Linked DNA regions of Rattus norvegicus. The protein of the gene in region 3 purifies or fractionates together with the protein of the main gene of each other region. This does not show direct contact. Links are inferred from orthologs where the notes say so. Each region holds a gene or a part of one and is shown on either strand. Other genes may lie near its edges.

Region 1 (4,114 bases), on a different chromosome or scaffold from region 3:
CTGTTCCTGCCTTGGAAATATTTTACCCTTTTCCCTGTGGAACTAACTCACCCGACCTGTGGGGGTTATCAGAAAACACAGATGAACAAAATAAGGAGAGAGGAGACGTTTGTATTAGGGGCAGAGTTATAGTCTATATGTTTAGTCAAATTCATACTAAAGATGTATACTTATGTGAGTGCTTTCCCTGCATACCATGGTAATGTATTATGTGCACCATAAGTGTAGCCAGTGCTCTCAAAGGTCAGAAGGTACTGGCATTAGCAATGGTGGTGAGCCACTGTGTGGGGGCTAGGAACTAAAACTGGGTCCTCTGTAAGAGCAGCAAGTACTCTTAACCACTGAGCCATCTCTCCAGCCCCCTATTATTTATTTATTTATTTTGGCGTTTTGGAGACAGGGTTTCTCTTGTGTGCCCCTGGCTATCCTGGAACTTGCTCTGTAGACCAGGTTAGCTTTGAACCCAGAGATCCACCTACTAGCCCCTATTTTTGAGACAAGGTCTTACTATGTCGCTATGGCTTATCTGGAAATATGTATGTATGTTTGGTTTTTTTTTTTTTTTCCGAGCTGGGGACCGAACCCAGGGCCTTGCGCTTGCTAGGCAAGCGCTCTACCACTGAGCTAACCCCAACCCTGTATGTATGTTTTTATGTTTAGTCAAATTCATACATACATACATACACCAGGCTGGTCACAAACTCACAGAAATCTACTTACCTCTGCCTTCTGAGTGGTGGCTGGGATTAAAAGCAAGTGCTCCCACGTCTGGTGACTTACTGTATTTTGACATGTGTATGTGTGAGAGTGTGTATTTTTTTTTTTTCTTTTCTATTTTTCGGAGCTGGGGACCGAACCCAGGGCCTTGCGCTTGCTAGGCAAGCGCTCTACCACTGAGCTAAATCCCCAACCCCGAGAGTGTGTATTTTTTACGTATGTATTTGAGTATGCACATTAGCATGGTTCCCAAGGAGGCCAGAAGATGGATCACCTGGAACGGTTGTGAACTGCCATGTGGGTGTTAGGAATCGAAGCCAGATTCTCTGCAAGAGCAGCCATTGCTCTTAACAGCTCAGCCATCTCTTCAGCCCCAAATTAATATTATTATACAGTTCAAAAGTCCGATATCTGGCAGGAAGACAAGTTTGATCATAAACTCAAGCTCTTCCCGCAGGTCTAGGCCCAGCCCCCTTATTTACATAGGGACCTCCCACAGACAGAGTACGCCCGCCTCTTCCGCTAGGACCTCCCTTTCCGGCAGGTCGGGCCTCCAGTCCCGCCCCTCAGCTGCTGAAGTGCGGCTCTTGCGCATGCGCAACCCGGAAGTCTCGCAGCTTGGTTCAGGTTCCCAGAGAGTTTGTCTGAGTGAGCCACGCGCGTGGCGAAGGAACCATGGGGAAGCTGCGACGCCGCTACAACGTGAAGGGGCGGCTGCAGGCGGAATCCCGGCCCGCCAAGGGTCCTGAAGCGCCTCCCGTGCGGCTGGAGCTGGAGGGTGAGAAGCTGGGGAGGGTCCCTGGAGTGGGAGCCGGGTTCCACATGACCCGAACAGGGGGCGTGACAGCCTCTCTCCCGGGGCATGGGGCTACTGCTCAGAATATGACGCGCAGATTAGTTCTTTGCATCCATTCCCAGGCCGATCATAATCATCTCCTTTCCAGAGACCCGTAAATGTGGTGCTTCAGACCCGGCCCGTTAGCCGTGCGCTAGGCTAATTGCAATGCTTGGGTACTGGGGCGCCTGTGAGCACAGGGGACACTTATTCTGGTCTCTGGGAGTAGTGACAGCGGAAGTGGAGATGGAAAACCCTGACACTCCAGGCATGCCCTGCTTACCCGGAGAAGACCAGCACAGAGAAACGATAAAATGTGTAGAATATGGCAGGCACAGGGGTGAGTACCAGAGAGATAGAGCCGAAGATGGGAGAGAGTGCTGTGCTGGGAAAGACCCACCATGGATAGTAAAATGCCAAAACCTTCAAGAAACCTGGGTGAAGATGAGAGGGAAACCCAGGGGCTAGGGGACATCGGAGTTTGCGGGTTGTAGAAATGATTGAGATTTTAAAAGTGAGGAGTGGCTGACTATGATAGCTCAGTGCTGTAACCCCAGGATTAGGAGTTTTCTGTAAGAGGATGCCTACAAGTTTGAGGGAAACCTGGGCTACATAGTGAGAACAAACAAGCAAAAAGGCTGTGTGTCTGAGAGAGATTTGTAAACCTGGCTGTAGGGAGAGATGTGCACCTGAGGGCAGTTGGGCTACATAACCTGTACCAGGCTCCCTTAGGGCTACAAAGCAGGACATTACCTTATCCCCAACTTCTTTTTTTTTTTAAGATTTTTTTGTTTGTTTATATGAGTATACTATAGCTTTCTTCAGACACACCAGAAGATTGTGAGCCACCATGTGGTTGCTGGGAATTGAACTCAGGACCTCTGGAAGAGCAGTCAGTGCTCTTAACCTCTGAGCCATCTCTCCAGCCTAATCCCCAGCTTCTAACAGAGGAAGTGAGGAACTATAGAAGACTTAGCAGAAGAGGGACAGATGAAGGATAATGTGTAACCATGACATATCGGTTGGGCCAATAAGGAAAAGCAACACAGGTTGAAGGAAGATGGGGTAGGAAGCTAGAGTTGGTGCTTGGAGCAGGGAGATAGTGTTTGGATTGTGGTGTATTCCAAAAGAGAGCTGGCCTGAGTTGCTGACTGAGACTGTGTGTAAGCACAAAGGTGATGTGCATGGGCATTGGTCAGGCCGCTGGAGAAGGCAGATGTGGGGTGGGAGTACTTGAGGCTCTGCAGATGTTCGAAGGAAAACTAGAAGCTATTGACTCAGCTGTTCAAGACAGGCAAGTTGGGGGGTGTGGGGGGCATAAACACTTTTGTATATAGATGGCACTTACTTACGTCTGATGAGTGAAGTTTTGGCTCGCTGAGAAGGGTCCAGCCCTGAAGGAGAGGGGAGTGGAGGAGAGTTGGGAGGAGGGTGCTGACCCAGATCTCGTGAAAAGGACTCACGCTTCATCTCAGATGCTCCCTGGGGTCCTGAAGGGAGGAAGGTATTGGTTGGAATAGTAGAAGGTATGGTCAGGATCAGGCTGGTTCGGGAGGAGAGTAGAGCTAAAGCGATCTGATCCAGTAGAATCAAGTATGTCTTCCCGGCTCCTGAGACCTAGACTTGGGGCATGTCACTTCACATACTTCTGCCTTTGTTTTCATATCTATAAAATGGGACGGAACTTTTCCTCGGTGGAATCATAACAGCCTCTGGCACAGCCCACAGGTCAGTAGCCAGGTTGTGAGCATTCTTCAGGGTTCCACGTATCCCAGGCTGGCCTGTGTGTGTAGTCAGGGGGCGATTGAACTTCTAGCCCTATTGCTGTCTCTCTCAAATGAGTACAGTCCCGAACTGCCATACTTGGTTTTATGCTGGGGTTGGAACCCAGGGCTCTCAGCATGGTAGCCAGGTTCCCTCCCACCTGAGCTCCATCCCCAGCCCCTCCTGGTAATGCTAACAGTTGTGACCCACAGACCCTCGTTTCGCACTCAGAGATTGGGAGGTGCTGTGGGCCACCTGCAGGAGGTGGTGACCTCCTCTGATGTTTGTCATGAGTGAGCCTCTAGGACACCCTGTGACAACTTCTTTTTTTTTTTTTTTTTTTTTTTTTTGGTTCTTTTTTTCGGAGCTGGGGACCGAACCCAGGGCCTTGCGCTTCCTAGGCAAGCGCTGTACCACTGAGCTAAATCCCCAACCCCCACCCTGTGACTTCTTGCCCCCTGGTGAGACCGTGGCTGTCTTTTCAGACAAGGATGTGTTGAAAGGGGTAGATGCCAGCAACGCCCTGGTGCTGCCTGGGAGGAAGAAGAAGAAGACCAAGGCGCCTCCTCCATCCAAGAAAGAGAGGAAGCCCCTGACGAAGAAGGAGAGGAAGGTGCTACAGAAGGTCTTAGAACAGAAGGAGAAGAAGAGCCAGGTATGCCTCGTGTGGCTGGTCTGCCCCAGCTCTCCAGGTCAGCGGGCTGGAGGGGAGTCTTTCCCTCCATGTAATTTCTGCAGCAAGATTGTCTAGTGGGACTCGCTGAAAGGAGGGGAGTGTTTCTTACCTGTCCAGTGACA
Region 2 (4,234 bases), on a different chromosome or scaffold from region 3:
GAGATTCTGTATCGATGAATGAGGAAGTACACGAGTCACCTCCTGACGTGTCCAAATTGTCTTCACATGAACTACAACTATTTTATTTTATTTTTTTCAAGAAAAAATGTACAGCCCAGAAACTTGTCTAAATCATATAAAGATAAGGGTTCCAGCCCACTGTGTTTATCATTTTTAAAGCCTGTCTTAAAATATAATCATATAAAGATCTGATTACTGAAGAAAATCATGCATTCCTGTTTGACTGGATTTACCTTGCACTGAGAAGTGACCAAAAACCAAAACCAAACAAACAAAAAACAAGAAAACAAAACAAAGCAACCGAGTTCGATTCAATAAATGTTTTTCTCCTAGTCTTTTATCAGCCGGGCAAGGACATCAACTTAGGGACATTCTCTTCCCCATCCTATTGTACATCTCATATTGTCTCTTTTTTAGCTAGAATATAAAAGTCTTCTGCAGGCAACTTCAGGGACCAATTAACTCCATTAAATTATATCCAGTTATGTAGTGAACTGAACCGCTGCTCGTCTGGGGCTGTCTAGAGCTGAGACAATTAGGAGACGGAGAGAAGCAGAAAGGGAGATTGATTTTATGTGTCACTGAAACACACTGCAACAATATGCCAGCGTGACTTTCAAAATGGCCTTAAAATATTCCAAACTCAGGGAGTTTCCTTGCTCCTGAGTGGGAGTTGACAGACTGTCTGGCAGCATTAGAAAAGGCAGGGAGAAACTGATGTCTATATTGTGTCCTCTAATAACATTCTTCCTCTTTTTGGCATCTTTCCCTTAGAAGGACCCGCTAGTTTGGTGTGTGTGTGTGTGTGTGTGTGTTTGTGTGTGTGTGTGTGTTTGTGTGTGTGTGTGTGTTTGTGTGTGTGTGTGTACACGCAAAGAGCATGGTTTCACATCTGGGAAAACCAAACCGAAGGACACTAACCTTCCCAAGGTCACTTAGAAAATTAGTGCTGTGACCTGGTGTGTGGGTGGAACAGAACCCAGGTGTCCTGGCTCCAGCTTTGTGATTGGACATTAAAGCATTTTCCTTTGTGGGGAGAAAAAAAAAATCACCGGTCCGGGAATTTGGGGGAAGTGAGAGATTAATCAGATTTCCTCTTTCCCTCTTTCCCTCCCTCCCTCCCCCACTTACGAAGATTAAAAACTCAGGAAAGCTAGAGGTGCCTTCTCGGCAGTTATTAAGCAGGGTCTACCAAACCTATTCCCACCCTGGACACAAAGCGATCGCCGCTCCCAGAGATTCTGTGCGTCCTCTTGAGAGCCTAGGAGGTGAGGAGTGGTGGAAAGTCAGCCCTCACCTCCAGCGGGTCCCGGGCTCGGCGGCGCCCAAGCCCCGCCCCCGGCCGCCCTTCCCCCGCGGCCTCGGCAGCCAGCCCCTCTCCCCTCTCGCTGTCGGGCGCACCCACCCCAGATGCCGCCTGGCACCAAGCGCAGCCGCCGCCGCCGCCGTACTTTCCACTTGTATTGATCACTCGTAGCTGGGCTCAGCCTGCTCCCGGAGCGCAGCGCGGCCAGAGCGCCAGCCCTTGGCAGCTCGGGCACAGTCGGGCTCCCAGAGGAAACTCCTTGGGAGCGCCCTGTCCGGGGTGTCCTCTGCGCTCTGCAGTGTCTTTCTGTCTGCCTGGAAGGAGGAGGAGGAGAAGGAGGAGGAGGAAGAGCAGAAGGAGGAGGAGGAGGTGGAGGAGGAGGACGTCGTCTGGTCCCGGTTGGGAGGTGGAGCAGTGGCAGCAGCAGCCGCCGAGGCAGCCGCCGCCGCCGCCTCCGGAAAGGGAGAGGCAGGAGAAAGAGATCGGGACTTGGAAAACCTAAAGTGTCTTCGACCCTGCACGGCAGGCTTCCTTCCAGCTTCATGGGCAAAGTGTGGAAACAACAGATGTACCCTCAGTACGCCACCTATTACTACCCCCAGTATCTGCAAGCCAAGGTAAGGAGGCGCGGGGAAGGGTCGCCAAAGGAGGGGACCGCGGAGGCGCGCGCCGGGCCGGGCTGGGGAGGGGCGCACGGCGACCCTCCCGCCTCTGGGCACAAGTGCTGGGGTTGCTAACTATAGCGCTGGCCTGGGCAGAGCCAGGCTGTGCGCGGGGCGGCGGCTTCCCGGGGAGCCGATCGCGGCGATCGGGTTACAGAGAGTAGCGGGGGGGAGCGACTAGACAGGAAAGGACCGCTGGCCCCTTCCTGGCCGGCGAGGAGGAAAGGGTCTCGCGGCCTCACGGCTCCCCCTCGTCCAGCCCGGGCTGGCGGCCGGCCGATGCTTGGGGCCCGCGGCAGGACCTGCTGGCGGCACGGCTTTCAGACCTCTCCAGGGCCTCGCCCTGCGGGCAGTAACTGTGGGGTCCCCTTGAGTGGCGCGCAGCCCCCCGCCCCGCCCCGCCCCGCCCCGCCCCACAGGACTACCCTCCAGCTCCCGCGCGCGCGACGAAGGTGGCTGGAGGGGGCCGGGACGGTCTCCTCCCCGCCTTGGGCCCTGTGCGCCCGCCCCTCGCCTCTGATCTTTGTGCGGTGTGGCACTTCACCTGGTTACTGATTTCCACTTTTACGCTGGTGTTTTGGGTAGAGAAGTGGCCAAAGTTCACTCTGCATTCATTGATATCCCCTTTAATCTTCTCTGTAGCTTTTACATGGGAGGGACAATGGACAGATTTCGATGCATAAAAAGAAGTGACTTTGTATTTACTTTTCCTTTTTGGTTGTTGTTTTTAAACCGCCTTGAGTGTGTACCAGAGAGTGATTTCCAATTCTGCTCAAAAGTGGCACAGTCTTGGGTAAGGACCGCTGATGACATGTAGGCAGGCAAATTGTGCCTGGCTTTCCAGGGACCCTGGGCACTTTGTTAATGGGCCTATGCTAATTTTACAACAGTTTGATGTCTCATAAACTAATTTTAAAAAATTATTAGGGTTCATGAAAAGTGCACCTTACCGCCCTGGAATCATACGCCACAATTAGGAAAGGCAGAATGGGATGGTGGGTACAGCAGCCTTCTTCAGCTGTTAACACACCTAGTATGTCCTTCTAGATCACAAAAGAATCAGGTATGGATGCAGTGTTTGAACTTTCTTTAGGGGATTGTTTGCTGGCAGATGGACATTGCTGACCTGGTACTAAGAATCTATGCTTCAACCTTGAAAGCTTCTCTTTCTCTCAATGTGTGTGGTCCATGATGCCCTACAACATAGCTCAGTGTTTGTCCACGTAAAAAGGACTTGTCAGCAGAGGCCAGAAATTTCCCAGCACCTAAAGGCCTCCTTGCTGCTCTCCCAATTCCCCATTTACCTTCGCTCACTGGAGATCTGTAAGGTGTTCGCAACTGCTAGAGCAGGACCGTTCATCTCCATGTGGTTGACATGCCATTGTTTTAGGAACTTGAGGGAGATTCTCTCTCTCTCTCTCTCTCTCTCTCTCTCTCTCTCTCTCTCTCTCTCTCTCTCTCTCTCTGTGTGTGTGTGTCTGTCTCTGTCTCTCTCTCTGTCTCTCTCTCTGTGTATGTGTGCTGTTTGAAGAAATTTCGTAACGTGATCTATGCGCCACCTTTTAGCTGTGTTATATATTTGATGCATTCATTTAAATAATTATGCAGCATTTGGTTGCCTGAAGGACAAGCCTATTCAACACTTAACTCCATGAATAATAAATGCACACATTCAGGTGAAGAAGGGGAGGAGCCATGTTCCTATGAAACATTTACCTTAGTAATTTTTATGTACCATTAGTAAGTTAGAAACCAACTGCATAGCATTTAATATAGCTAATGCAATGCCATTTGGCTTTTATTATTATTATATATATAAATTTTTTTTTGCCCTGTAAATAATTGAAGAGAGGGACAAACGGCAAAGCCTGCTGGAGTAATTAGGGCTGGATCCCAGGAAGCTTTAGGGTCCATTTTCTGAAAGTGTGCTTCCTGCATAAAGCATTTAATATTGATTTGTGTTACAGTAAATGACAGCCTCAAAACATACTTTGCTGTTTCTCCTATGAAATCTGAAATCTTATTACTCTGAATCCCTTTGTTTCAGGAGAAAGGTGCGTCCTCGCTTGACCTATATAATGTGGTGTTTTAAAAGTTTGGTAATTAAATCTAAACTCCCCATTGTAAAGGTGTCATAATTAGTTCAGAAAGGAGTGTCTCCAAAAACACGGAGATGTAGATTCTAGATATCAGAGTCGGAGTCAGGGACACACACCCCTTTTCTCCTTCCTGTAGTCATTGGTAA
Region 3 (2,397 bases):
GGCCTGGGAATCTTCTCCTTTAGGCTCTCACTGAGCAGCACTGAGAATTAATGCAGGGCCTTACCTGTATTGAGGAGTCCTCTAGCGCTGAACTACCAGCTTCTTAGCTGCCTCAAGAGGTACCAATAGCCCTGAACACTTTTCTTCCCTCAGAAAGACTGTCTTTCCAAAATACTTGGTGATCTGGGAGTCTTGCTCAGTGATTGAACAAGGTGTGCATCATGCCTGAGGCCCTGTGTTCTATCCCTAGCACCAAAAGTAGAAAGAAAAAGCCAAAATACTTGTAAACAGTATATGGTAGAAACCTTGGCTTTCTCTCTGCATTCTATACATTTTCTTTCTTAGGATTTTTAGGGCATCAAGTTGGAAGAGTTGTGTTTTATTAGGGGTGGGTGGACAAGTTGACCTCAAACTTGTGTCTTCTGTCTCGGCCTCTGAAGGCTGGGGCCATGGTGTGAGCCTCCTCACCCAGCTCTCAAAAGGTTTTAAGCTGCTGTTTTCCCTTATTCACAGACAAATCTGACCGCCCTGTCTGCCGACACTTTTCTAAGAAGGGCCACTGTCGATATGAAGACCATTGTGCCTTCTACCATCCAGGCGTCAACGGACCTCCTCTGTAAGACTGTGCCTTCCCACCCAGGCTGGAAGGAGCCCTCTGACCTAGTGGCCATGCATTCTCTGTGGCTCCATTATAGCTACTTGAAGGCTCTTCTGTCACCTTCAGGCAGTGGCACGTCCACCCCTTTCATCATCTCTCCCATTTGGGGTCCAGAGCTGTGACTGTCACTGGTGCACAGTACACACTGTCCTCTGATCCAGGCTGTAGAGACCTTCAGGACCCCATCTTGCTACCTTCCACTGCCTCCTGGATCTTCCCCTCTGCCAAATGACTGCTCCACAGGAAACCTTTGGTGCTGTTTCTTGTGCATTTGTCCACCTCTCCCTCAGTATTGCCCTCAGTTCCCAAGAACCCTGGAGCAGTCTCTTATCCTCTAGCTGCTTGTTTTAAGTCCTTTCACGTAAAACCCCAGTGTTTGCAGCTGCCAGGAAGTGCACTAGGTTTTCCGGCTTGAGGTTGAGTTTGAGTGACTGGTACAGACTTGCTCCCTAAACAGCCTCCACCTGCTTTTGGACGTCCTAGTTTCTGTCCGTAGCATGAGCCCCACCGCTAAGGCCTGTGGTCACTGTGCTTTGTGAAACTGTACGCCCCTTGTAGCCTTCCTCGGTGTCTGTGGCGTTTTTTGTGACTTCCCAACACTAGAGTAAGTTTTTCTGCCAAATCAAGTGAGGCTCTTGGTGCCCTCTAGAGTTCACCTACCTCCCAAAACGGGAGGATGTGAGACATCTTCAGACTGCCTCCCCGTCGTGCCCTCCTGTTCTGTGCCCTCTGGTATTCTGGGTCTGACACAGGCCAGTGATGTCTTGGAAAGCTTCCGACGGGCCTCCCAACACAGCTCCTGCCTGACCCGTTTTAGTTAGGCTGTCATTGTGAGGCCACCAGCCCTTTGATTTGACTTTGTGAATCTCCGCCTGTCTCTGGATGGAACCTGAACAGTACTGTCTGTCACCTCTCTGACCCTCTTACTTCCCTCACACTGGGTGTTTTCTGTGAAAACAGCAGTGAACATGTTGGGTTTTGAACAGGCCCTAAGGAAGTGGGTCAGGAGGTATGTGTGCAAGAGGAGAGAGAGCGCTAGAACTAAGAATGATTTTGTTTTCTTTTTAATTTTTTTTATATTAGTAATAAACACAGTGGAAACCGGTGTCTTCTCTCATTTCTCTGTTCCAGTCTTCTCTGCAGGTGCAGGGAAGCCTTCTCTGAGGCTTCTAGGGAGTCCATTCATTCCCTTAGTTCATCAGAAGCAAAGGTACACTCCGGAAGTGTTGCTGTGCGGAGAGCAGATCAGTGACACAGAGCTGAGGTCTGAAGGATGCACAGGAGGAGCAGTGAGGGGAGGAGTCTTGGCAGTGCCTGGCAACAGTGCCTGGAGCTGAGGTTTTTTGTATTTTTGTTTTCTGTCTGAACACAGAATCTGAAGAGTGGCTCACTTACCACTTATTTTGTGATATTTTTCCCTTGTAAATCAAAACGTGTAATTCACATGAACGCTGTAGGTGATATCTTTGTAATGACTTTGTCTCACTGTCAAAAGGTTGACCATGGGGCTGGGGATTTAGCTCAGTGGTAGAGCGCTTACCTAGGAAGTGCAAGGCCCTGGGTTCGGTCCCCAGCTCCGAAAAAAAGAACCAAAAAAAAAAAAAAAAAAAAAAAGGTTGACCATGGGGGACAGACTTAGAAATGGAGATTTCTAAAATACTTTTTTAGATTTATTTACTACTTTATGTTTGTAAATATTTTGCCTCCCTGTTTGTATGTGTAGAATGTGTGCCTGTTAC

Evidence for each region. The genes of interacting proteins can lie anywhere in the genome.
Region 1: the proteins of Prr3 (region 3) and Dhx37 purify together in Homo sapiens (co-immunoprecipitation; 3 studies listed by BioGRID and IntAct, with this or other methods). This does not show direct contact. The link is inferred for Rattus norvegicus from reciprocal best matches to the Homo sapiens genes PRR3 and DHX37.
Region 2: the proteins of Prr3 (region 3) and Rbms1 purify together in Homo sapiens (co-immunoprecipitation; 3 studies listed by BioGRID and IntAct, with this or other methods). This does not show direct contact. The link is inferred for Rattus norvegicus from reciprocal best matches to the Homo sapiens genes PRR3 and RBMS1.

What each region holds. Positions count from the first base shown.
Region 1 is NC_086030.1:36,854,828-36,858,941, forward strand, and holds the start of Dhx37 (probable ATP-dependent RNA helicase DHX37), read left to right. Parts: upstream 1-1,310; 5' UTR 1,311-1,392; coding exon 1,393-1,495; intron 1,496-3,801; coding exon 3,802-3,971; intron 3,972-4,114. UniProt on the Homo sapiens protein: ATP-binding RNA helicase that plays a role in maturation of the small ribosomal subunit in ribosome biogenesis. Required for the release of the U3 snoRNP from pre-ribosomal particles.
Region 2 is NC_086021.1:65,826,210-65,830,443, reverse strand, and holds the start of Rbms1 (RNA-binding motif, single-stranded-interacting protein 1), read left to right. Parts: upstream 1-1,430; 5' UTR 1,431-1,869; coding exon 1,870-1,944; intron 1,945-4,234.
Region 3 is NC_086038.1:2,802,912-2,805,308, forward strand, and holds the end of Prr3 (proline-rich protein 3), read left to right. Parts: exon of another isoform or gene 1-513; coding exon 514-620; 3' UTR 621-1,763; downstream 1,764-2,397.